Rattus norvegicus: one gene and its partner. The protein of the gene in region 1 interacts with the protein of each later gene in a pairwise test. Links are inferred from orthologs where the notes say so. Each region holds a gene or a part of one and is shown on either strand. Other genes may lie near its edges.

Region 1 (5,214 bases):
AGTTCCAGCTAGGAATTCTATTATACAGCTCACTCTAGACAGTCGCTGAAGCCCAAGTGGCTGTCTGGTCACATCTCTGGTATTCTATCTGAGCAAGAAACAACTTCAAAATTATTGGTCCCATATTTGTGATTTGTTTTCAAGAACCCATTAAGTACAGGATGGCAAACACACTGTATGCATAGGTATACATACAGTATGTGCATGTATGTATACACATAGTGAGTTAGCCCAGAAAATTCTTCAAAATCAACCCACTTGGGAAAAACATATCTAAGAAATGACTAGAGCACTCTTAGTCCAAATACCCGAAATAGCAAACATTGTACAATCTGAAACATTTCCAGGATGTACAGGATATTACAAGTGACAAATCCCATATCAGCTCTCACCAGATCACAACTGAGACAAAAGTCTACCAGGACTATTGTATAATGTTGCCTTCAAAATGTGGATAGAAAGCAAACTAATAACATGTCTATTCTGGAGCTTATAACATATCATTGTACATATGCGAATATTCTCAAACCTGGAAACACGGACATACTTCTTGCCACAAATATTCTGGGTAAAAGATGTCTGTCTTGTCTAAATAAACACATTGAAGAGCCAAGGAATGCCAACCCAATACCTTAAATACATCTGTTTTAAGTGATAATAAATCTCAATGCATAATTTTAAGATGTTTTAAACTTGAGGAACTCAAAGAAGGGCTAAGGAATTCCATTATTTCAGAATAAGAAAGATGATCAAATTTAAGGACTTCTGGCTTTGGAAGCTTCAACCATGGTCATTGCATAAAGGAAAGTTCGAGGAAATATCAGGTTCAGGTTACCTCCTCTCAATCTACATTTTTTATTTATGAACACCAATATGCTGCCTCTCATTTATGAAAGAATGTTAGATATTATCCAAAAGAATTGCATTTGAAAGATATTGGGAAAGATTTGGACGTGCGCCCAACATGGAATTAGTCATTTGCTAATGACGTAATGCAAGACGTGGAAGATTTCTTATAAACATGAAGATGTAACAGCAGTAAGCAGGGGGAAAGGGCACTGGGAGTGCATGAAAAATACACTATCATAAAATGTGTATTAATAAACATGTTGATCATTTCCCACTAGATTCTTAAGGGAATTTCTAAATGAAATCAAAGTGACCTAATAGAAATGCAGAGCCCAAATCCATAGTTATTAAAATAATTGTAAGCCAACAAACTAAGAATCCAACGATGAATGAATACATATAAATAATTTTATATATCTGTTTTGTTCATGTGGGACCTGGGGTTTAAACTCAGGTTCATGCTTGAACTGCAACAGCTCTTGCCCACTGAACCAAGTCCCATTTTAATTAAAATTTTAGACGCACATCAATTATGTTATATGAATCTACTTCTAAAACATTAAATTCTCACATGGATTGATTTCCAGTGTCTGTAACTATACTTTGCATTCTTCCTTGTTTGATACTGCTCAGATTTGTAACGATTTATCTCTATTAATAATTTCTCAACATTCTGATATTAGACAACACATCATCATCATCATCATCATCATCATCAGGTATGACTTTCCAAGAAAAGGTTATTTTTGTCTCTCCTATTCTTTTGTGGAAAACTCAAATTCAAGAATTAGTCTTCTTCCTCCAGGACCTTCACACTTAACTCAGTGTGTCGGAACTTAACTTCACCATCTCAGCTATATCTTTCTCCTTCAACTTGTTTCTTTCCCCACTATCACCCATCTCTGTCCCATACAGGAGACCAGGAGATCCTTTTCATAATACTAGTGGTACCCTCCCTTAGACCCCAGTGGTTGGGCTTTGCTACTTCGCTCCTATCCAGCCCTACCACCCTTCTGGCTTCCCACTACGCATGCGCAATATAGCGTCTGCCCCGCCCGGCCCGCTGCTGCGGAAGGCGCAGTGCTCAGTAAAGCGCACTTCCTCTGCTAGTATCCACTGAGGCAGTGCAGGCTCCGAGAGCTCCGAGTCGCAGCGGTCCTGCTCTGATCAAAAGACGCAGAATGTCGGAACAAAGTAAGGACCTGAGCGACCCTAACTTTGCCGCTGAGGACCCCGACACTGAGATGCAGGTCAGCGATGCTGTTCCGGTGGGGGTCCCTCCTCCCGCTCCTCTGGCCGCGAACCTCTCAGGGCCATCGTGCGCTCCGGAAGGCCCTATGGCAGCCCCACAGGCCTCGCCACCACCTGCAGAACGGTTTGAAGAGGTTGACCCTAAGATCCTGCAGCAGGCCGCAGAAGAGGGCCGCGCCCACCAGCCCCAGAGCCCAGCCCGGCCGATCCCAGCACCGCCGGCCCCTGCCCAGCTGGTGCAGAAGGCGCACGAGCTCATGTGGTACGTGTTGGTCAAGGACCAGAAGAGGATGGTCCTCTGGTTTCCAGACATGGTGAAAGAGGTCATGGGCAGCTACAAGAAGTGGTGCAGAAGCATCCTCAGGCGCACCAGCGTCATCCTCGCCAGAGTTTTCGGGCTGCACCTGAGGCTGACCAATCTCCACACCATGGAGTTCGCCCTGGTCAAAGCACTCAGCCCAGAAGAGCTGGACAGAGTCGCGCTGAACAACCGTATGCCCATGACAGGTCTCCTGCTCATGATCCTGAGTCTCATCTATGTGAAGGGCCGCGGGGCCAGAGAGGGTGCGGTCTGGAATGTGCTGCGCATCCTGGGGCTGAGGCCCTGGAAGAAGCACTCCACCTTCGGAGATGTGAGAAAGATTATCACCGAGGAGTTCGTCCAGCAGAATTACCTGAAGTACCAGCGTGTGCCCCACATCGAGCCTCCCGAGTACGAGTTCTTCTGGGGCCCCAGAGCTAACCGTGAAATCACCAAGATGCAGATCATGGAGTTCCTGGCCAGAGTCTTTAAGAAGGATCCCCAGGCTTGGCCTTCCCGCTACAGAGAGGCTCTGGAGCAGGCCAGAGCTCTGCGGGAGGCTAATCTTGTCGCCCAGGCCCCCCGCAGCAGTGTCTCTGAGGACTAAAATGTCCAGGAGCACATTGATAGTTTCTGACCCATACTAGGGCTGTGTAAGGGTGGGGTTGGACATTAGAGTATCCCAGATTCATAGTGCAGTATTTCATGTATAGTTTTTAAGTTTTCCATCCAGTGCTTTTTTTATCTTGTAATGCAATGTATTCAGTTGTGTACTCGTGTAGTGTTTAAAATTGATGCATGTGTGTTTTATAAGTGAGCAAGTTGGTACTTTCACTTCTGTGCTTTCTTGGATTTTTGTACAAGAGATGTGCTGTGCTAAACTTGTGAAATACATTGAGGTGTTCTGTATCTTGTTCTTTGAATGGGACTGATGGTCCGTATCGACAAAGAAGGCCCTGGAGAGTTAGCAGGACTTAACAACAACACAGACCTGACCAAGAGAAAGGTCAGGGTCCCTCTCCATATGACTCCAACTGGCACAGGAAACATCCATGTGGAATGGACTGATTTGAACTGGACTGTTTTCAGTTTAAGCACTTAGCACACTTTGCAAAACATGTATCCAACCCCACCATAAATAAACTTTAAAATGAGCATTAAATATACCGTGAAATAATTTCTTTGTTTGGGGGGGAGGCATTTATTTTGGTGAAAGGGGGAATGGGAGTGGGTAGGGATGAGAAAGATTCTCCCCGTGTACAACATGAGCAAGTATACTTCTAACAGAGTGGGAAAACACCACTCATAACCACTCAGAAGTTTTTTGAAAATTGTGGTGCTTCAAGAAATTGGTCACATTAAAGGCGTGATAACAAAAAAAGGCATGTTCACATAACGTGGGAATAATAACAGGAATTATGTAGGGACTGTCCCTTTTCTGTTTTGTTTTGTTTTGTTTTTTTGTTTTAAATAGTCTTTGGTGGGCACTTTAACAGAATGAAATATTGCTACTAAACCCTCGTTGTGCATTTTCTTCTTTATTTTATCCTCCCACCAGCCATAAGAAGTAAGGAATGACTGTATCAGCACAAAGCAAGAAAAATGAAAGGATGCTGGTAATGAAATACCCTAAAAATCATAGACCTTATACTGGAGTCTTGACACTTAGCTCCCCATGGCTACCACTCACACAAGCACCCTTGTCTCCCTGCTGCATACATTAAGGATTTGATTTTTCTAATTAATTCTGAGAGTTTTGCGCAAATTAGCCTCTGAATGTACGAATTAGGAAACTCATTTCAGAAAGAATTGATGACCCAATCAAGTCCTTATCTTGCTAAGGGGTAAAAAGAAGATCTGAAATTTCATCTTTTCGGGGGGGATGAAAATGAACGAAATTATTCTGACAGTGATTCCTGTATGAGTCATGACACTAATGAAATCGAGGAGGGGGTGGTAATAGGAAGTTGCACCCAGCAGCACAGTCACATGTGCGACTCCGAAGTCAGTATGCTGCAGTGGACAGTAGGTGAAGAGAAGGTGAAATGGGATGAGAATCACTGTAAACAACAACTGGGGCAAAAAAAAAATTTCATTAGGGAGCTTTTCGTCGGGGAAGAAAAAGAGAGAAGAAGCATTAATGAGATGAGAAATCCTTTAGACTCTTATGTGGGAAAAGTCGTTTAGTAAAAGTTTTAAAAAAAACTTTTTTTTCTGGGGAAGGGGAATAAGGGGTGCATACCTGTCACACCATAATCATGAGTAAACTGGGAGTCGTGTTAATGTGAAAGAGCTACAGTCAGTGTTTTGACATACAGAATTGCCAGCATTTAGTGACATTGCCTAGCTGGTGGTGCAGGGAATGAAAATGCTTATAAATCCATGTATCTCTTAAAACAGAACTCATCCTCCTTAGTTGCCCCCATAGTCTTTTACGGGAGTGAGAATGGAAAGTGGGAAGATACTGACAGTAACCCTAATATGGGTGACCTGGCTCTCAGCAGACTTCTTCGTGAAGAGCTGATGTTTGCTGTCACACCTATTTAAAAACATTTAGGGTTTTTCTGCTGTAAGGATATTGAGTCTGTTTTTGCATGGGCTTGTTTTGCAGATTACAATTTTGCACATCGCAGTTTTGCAGATCCATGTAAAACAGATTCAAGATTACTGACACTGGCACCTTAGCTAAACATTTGCTGAGGGATAGGATAGTGAGAAACAAGGAGCTGATTACAGGCAGGAGCAAGAGCAGGGCTGCTCTCCAACTGCGTTGTCTTGGAGACAGCTAGCCATAGAGGAGAAAGCTTTTCAGC
Region 2 (5,275 bases), on another chromosome or scaffold:
TAAGGATCAGTCTTTATAATCAATGTCAGCATTGTGATATAAGAGTGTTCTTTTCTGCTCTTGTCTGTTTTCCTGAAGTTGGTGAGCATGCACCTGCAGGAACGGTCTTTGTGTGATGACAGATGCTGGTCCTCCTCCTGTGGTAGAGCATCCTGATGTAGCCTCTGTTCACGAGTGTGTGGACACCACAAAAGCGTTTACAGAAAAGTTAAGGACTTCTAAAACCAGATGTGGAAATGGGCATTGTGTATTGATTATAGTTCTGTGAAATCAATAAACCCACATATTCTTCTGAATAACTTTATGTTGTTTGGTTTAGTTAAAATATGTTAATGACAGTGGAATTGTGGGTGCAAACCCAAATATTACCAAATGTGATGTTAGGAGAAATGTATTTTACATGTATGGCAGTTGGAGAAACTAGAGTAATTTTCTTCAATGTTTTCTCCTCCCCCTTTCTCCCCCTTTCTCCCCCTTCCTCCCCCTCCTCCTCCCCCTCTCTCTTCCCCTCTCCCTCCCTCCCCTCCTTCCCCCTGCCCACAGGAGTTACTGTTGACATAAGCGTTTAAGCCCCTGTTCTGAGCCATGGCCTCAGCAGTCCTCAGCTCTGTGCTTACAACTGCCTCCCGCTTTGCCCTGCTGCAAGTGGACAGCGGCAGTGGCTCTGATTCTGAGCCTGGGAAAGGCAAAGGGCGGAACAATGGGAAGTCTCAGACTCTGGGGAACAAATCAACCGCCAATGAGAAAAAAAGGGAGAAGAGGAGGAAAAAGAAGGAGCAGCAGCAGAGTGAAGCAAACGAGGTAGCCATGGCTGTCTGTGTCCTGGGGCAGGGAGCACACGCCATCAGCCTCATTGCAGACACCGTGTCAGGCACAGGACACGGCTTCCCGGTGACATTCACCTACCTGAACCCACACGCAGCCAACACTCAGACATTCTTCCTGACTGGAGCAGCTTGTGTGTTCATGCTATTAAATTAAGACAGAGACATCTTAAAGGGGGGCAGTCCGTGCCTGTAGCCCCAGCTGCTCAGGAGACTAAGCTGGCAGGGTTGCTTGAGCAAGCCTGGACAGGATAGTGAGACTTTGTGTGGTAAACAAATTAATAAATTTAAAAATAGAGATAAATCCACAAATAACTTTCCATTGTATAAGTTAATGTAAGGAATGGACTAGAAATATTTTAAAATTAAAGCCACTAGTATTGATGTGCAGAATGTAATATATTTTGTGCTTATTTCTTAGCTCAGGAATCTTGCTTTCAAGAAAATTCCCCAGAAATCCTCCCATTCTGTTTGCAATGTTCAACATGAGCTTTCATTGCCAAACCCAGTGCAGAAGGAATCACGGGAAGAAAACTGGCAAGAGTGGAGACAGAGAGACGAGCAGGTACAGCTGAGTGTGTGCCCTCCCTGGCTGTTCTGGGCCGACGGCCTGGTAAGATGGCAGCACAGCCGAGCTCTCCCCCACAGTGCTGCGGGCTCTGATGGGGCGCGGCCTGGGCGCAGTAGGTAATTCACTCGGGCCTCAGCACGCTAGCTAAGCATCCTGACCTACAACCCTAGCCCTGGTCATCTGTTTTTAGTTCATCCACTGTTTGTAAGGGAAAGTGTTAGGAACATAGAGAAATATACTTATTTCAGCTTTTGAAGGGCTGAAGAGAGGGTTGAAAAGCACTTGTTCAAATTTTTTAAAACGGATTTATAGGACTACAAATCTCTTATTAAAAATATGTAGTAACAGTTTTGCTTAAACAGTGACTTTGAAGTAAAACTTCTTTGTAACTTTGTCTGAAACTGCTGACGGCATGTTGGCTCTGCTGACCTATTTAGTGGTATTTAGTCTGTATCTCTTTGAGAGAGTACACACGAGGGAGGGAAGGAAGGAAGGCACAGAGTGTGTGTGAGAATGAGTGTGCATGTGTGTGCACACACTCGTAGGAAGTGAACGTTATTTTCATATTTACTGAACTATAATTTGATCTGTAGGAAATAGGCATTATTTTCAGACAGTACTTGGTCCATTTATTGGATTTCCAGTCATTCTGTGTTACCATTTTAAAGGAAGTAGACAAAGCTAGGTGTGGTGATACACGTATGTAATCCAAGCATCTAACCTCCTGGGAAACTGAGGCAGGAAGCTTGAGTTCAGCCTAGCTGGGGACCAATAAAGCAAACTCATGGAGGCCAGCAGTGCTTGAGCACACGCTTCAGATAAACCGTTTTCAGTGCCTTTTCTTTAGGCTCTTGCACTGTCCAAGACTTAGTATTGTGAGTACCAGTTATTACTCAGGAGCCACACATTAATGCTGTTGACATTTCCCGCTGGTGACATGCCGTTGACTTGCCGTTGGATTGTGATAGGATTTACCATTGTCTTCACCAAGGAGAATTTCTCCCAGTAGCCAGAGGGAAACTAACATAGGAAAATGAGTCAGATTTATACCGAAAGCAGTGTGTAAACTTGAACACAGTCTCCGATTACCTTTCTTTCCCATATTTGCTGTCACGGTGATCAGGTGGTTCTCAAAGAAAACAGATCACATGGTTCAGGACCTTGAGGAATTTACTAGGTATGTTGTTGAAAGACCCGGAATCTTAGAACTTGTGCTTAGAAGGAAATGCTCCAGTCTTGCACCGTGTATCAGGGTGGTCTTTAGTATTCCATGAGATAGGGCACTTTGTGAACTATCGTGAGCATTGTATGTCAGCATTGTATTCTATTCCTTTTTCTACCTATCAAAATTACTTCTGTCCTTTAAATAGCAACATAAAATTTATTTTCAGAGAATTGGTATGTCCCAATTAAGGCTCTTCTTTGTTTTGAGATTTTAGGTTTCATTCCTTTTGTTTACTTGTACACTAGTTTATCTTAGTAACAAGCACATGTGAGGGTGGCTGGAGTTGCGTGCGATGCTCTCACTCTTCACCTCTGCTTGCTCACCGCACTGTAGGCCAGTTGTCGGCTCCGCAGGCGGGGGGGGGGGGGGCAGACTAAACTTACAGCTAGACTCAGGGTCCTGGGAAAGCCATGGGGTTGTTGTTGATCGGTCGGCTTTTGTTTTCTGCACTTCAAATTTCATTTCTAAGTAAAATTCATCGGATCTATGAATTTGTGATCCACTGGGTCTGTGTAATGACCTCAGGACAGCATAATAAGAGCTTCTCTCTTAAAAGCACAGACCAAAACAACACACACACACACACACACACACTCTTTTTTATTGTTTTATCAGAATGATCTGCACTACAAATTAAATTCAGTGAGTTACTGGAAAATCAGTATCTTGCAAGGTTTCCTAATTTGTCCTGCAGTCTGACTTTTTGAAACTTCAGCCCAAATGTATGTATGATATTAGAAGAAATCACAAATTTTCTTACCACAATTAAATGTTAAAAATAGGATTATAGTGGCAAATTAACCAGCTTTGTTCAGGACAAATACTTTTAAAAAGATCACCATTGAGCTGGAGAGATGGCTCAGTGGTTAAGAGCACTGACTGCTCTTCCAGAGGTCCTGAGTTCAAATCCCAGCAACCACATGGTGACTCACAGTCATCTGTAATGGGGTCTGATGCCCTCTTCTGGTGTGTCTGAAGAAAGACAGCGACAGTGTACTCATAGATAATAAATAAATGTTTTTTAAAAAGATCATTATTATATTTTAACTTATGAGCAAACATTTTGTACTCAGTTTAGATAAACTGATTTATACTTTTTTAATGTGGCATATATATATCTTATTTTTAGTTTATTATTATTTTTTTCTTTTGGAGCTGAGGACCGAACCCAGGGCCTTGCGCTTGCTAGGCAAGGGCTCTACCACTGAGCTAAATTCCCAGCCCCACTATTATTTTTTATTACCTATATAATGATTGGGGGGTTACTATGGAGATTTTGCCTGCATGTGTGTAAGTATATCACCTGTGTACCTAGTACTTACAAAAGCCAGAAGAGGGTGCTGGAGCCTCTGGAACTGGAATGAGCCACCATGTGGGTGCTGGGAATGAGTCCTCTGCAAGAGCAGCCAGTGCTCATAAGCACTGAGCCAGCTCTCCAGGCCCCTAGGATTAAGCTGTGAGGTGCTGTTTCCTGCTAATAGTTAATTGGGATTGCATAACTCCTCAGTCCCCCGGGATCATCGTAGGATTGCAGTTTATTGTGGGCCTCCTCAGATTCCTGCATGCACTTTCCTTACCAGTCTAATTCTCATTGCATTTCCGTTAGTGTTTTTCTGTGTAAAGCTAGCTTGTTTCACTGTTTTTGTCTTGGCGAAGGATCAAGTGAGATGCTTTCTAAGGGGTGATTTCACTTAGAAAAGTTTAATTTGTAGAGTTTGATAGTTTTCTAATTTTTAAGACAGCCTTTACCCATTCCTTTTGACATTGGTTACTATTTTAGTCTGTATATTTTAAAACATTGAACAACATAACAATTCTTAGTAACTTGGGCAAAAATTTATTGAGGAGTAACTAAAACCTGAAAACTTAGGCCATAAAAGATGGAAACTAGCAAGTTCTGGGACACTCCAAGGCGGGAGCTAGCAGACACCACATCTCGGGATAACTGTCAGGTGGGTGTCCTTCCTTCCTGCATATCCGAAGACAGCGCCTGGGAGAGTGGAGAAGGCCTGGCTGACCTTCCCTGCCTGCTGTTGCTGGTCCGGCCACGTGGCTGCTGGTGTGGCACCGTGTCTGATTGGGATGCTTACCTGTCCTGTTGAATTAAGGATGTCAGAATATTTTATTCACAGTGTGAGGGGATTTTGGGGAGAAAAATATGAGATATCTATAGCATATGTAGACGTGGGTATTTACCCAAATTAACAATGAATGGGGAAATAGAAATTTCAAAAACAGGAGTTGATGCTTGTGTACAGCACAAGGTTGCTAGGATAGCATGGTTAAATAACTTAGGAAAACTGATAAATGTTCGTTTAAAGTACATCCATTTTCCTTTGCTGTGTGTATTCTCATAGATCATGCTTATTTTGAAAGTGTAGTGTAAATGGATGTTTATTGTGAAACAATCTTTTTAGCTGACCTCTGAAATGTTTGAAGCCGACCTCGAGAAGGCGCTGCTGCTGAGTAAGCTGGAGTACGAAGAGCACAGACAGGTGAGGGCGGCGGGCGGGCAGGCGGGCGTGCCTGGGAGACAGCAGGCAGTGCAGGACATGGCGCTCACCCAGCAGAAGTGAGCACTGATCTAGGCATCATGCAGCTCTGACGAGAGGGCTGTTAAGGGAAAAGTCGTGTTGGTTTCCAGTTCTTGTGTCT

What was found.
Region 2: the proteins of Ndn (region 1) and Gkap1 interact in a two-hybrid assay, tested with the Homo sapiens proteins (2 studies listed by BioGRID and IntAct). The link is inferred for Rattus norvegicus from reciprocal best matches to the Homo sapiens genes NDN and GKAP1.

Annotation. Positions count from the first base shown.
Region 1 is NC_086019.1:125,259,096-125,264,309, forward strand, and holds Ndn (necdin), read left to right. Parts: upstream 1-1,963; 5' UTR 1,964-2,030; coding exon 2,031-3,008; 3' UTR 3,009-3,563; downstream 3,564-5,214. UniProt on the Homo sapiens protein: Growth suppressor that facilitates the entry of the cell into cell cycle arrest.
Region 2 is NC_086035.1:6,398,244-6,403,518, forward strand, and holds part of Gkap1 (G kinase-anchoring protein 1), read left to right. Parts: intron 1-543; 5' UTR 544-585; coding exon 586-801; intron 802-1,245; coding exon 1,246-1,389; intron 1,390-3,885; exon of another isoform or gene 3,886-5,037; coding exon 5,038-5,115; exon of another isoform or gene 5,116-5,233; intron 5,234-5,275. UniProt on the Homo sapiens protein: Regulates insulin-dependent IRS1 tyrosine phosphorylation in adipocytes by modulating the availability of IRS1 to IR tyrosine kinase. Its association with IRS1 is required for insulin-induced translocation of SLC2A4 to the cell membrane.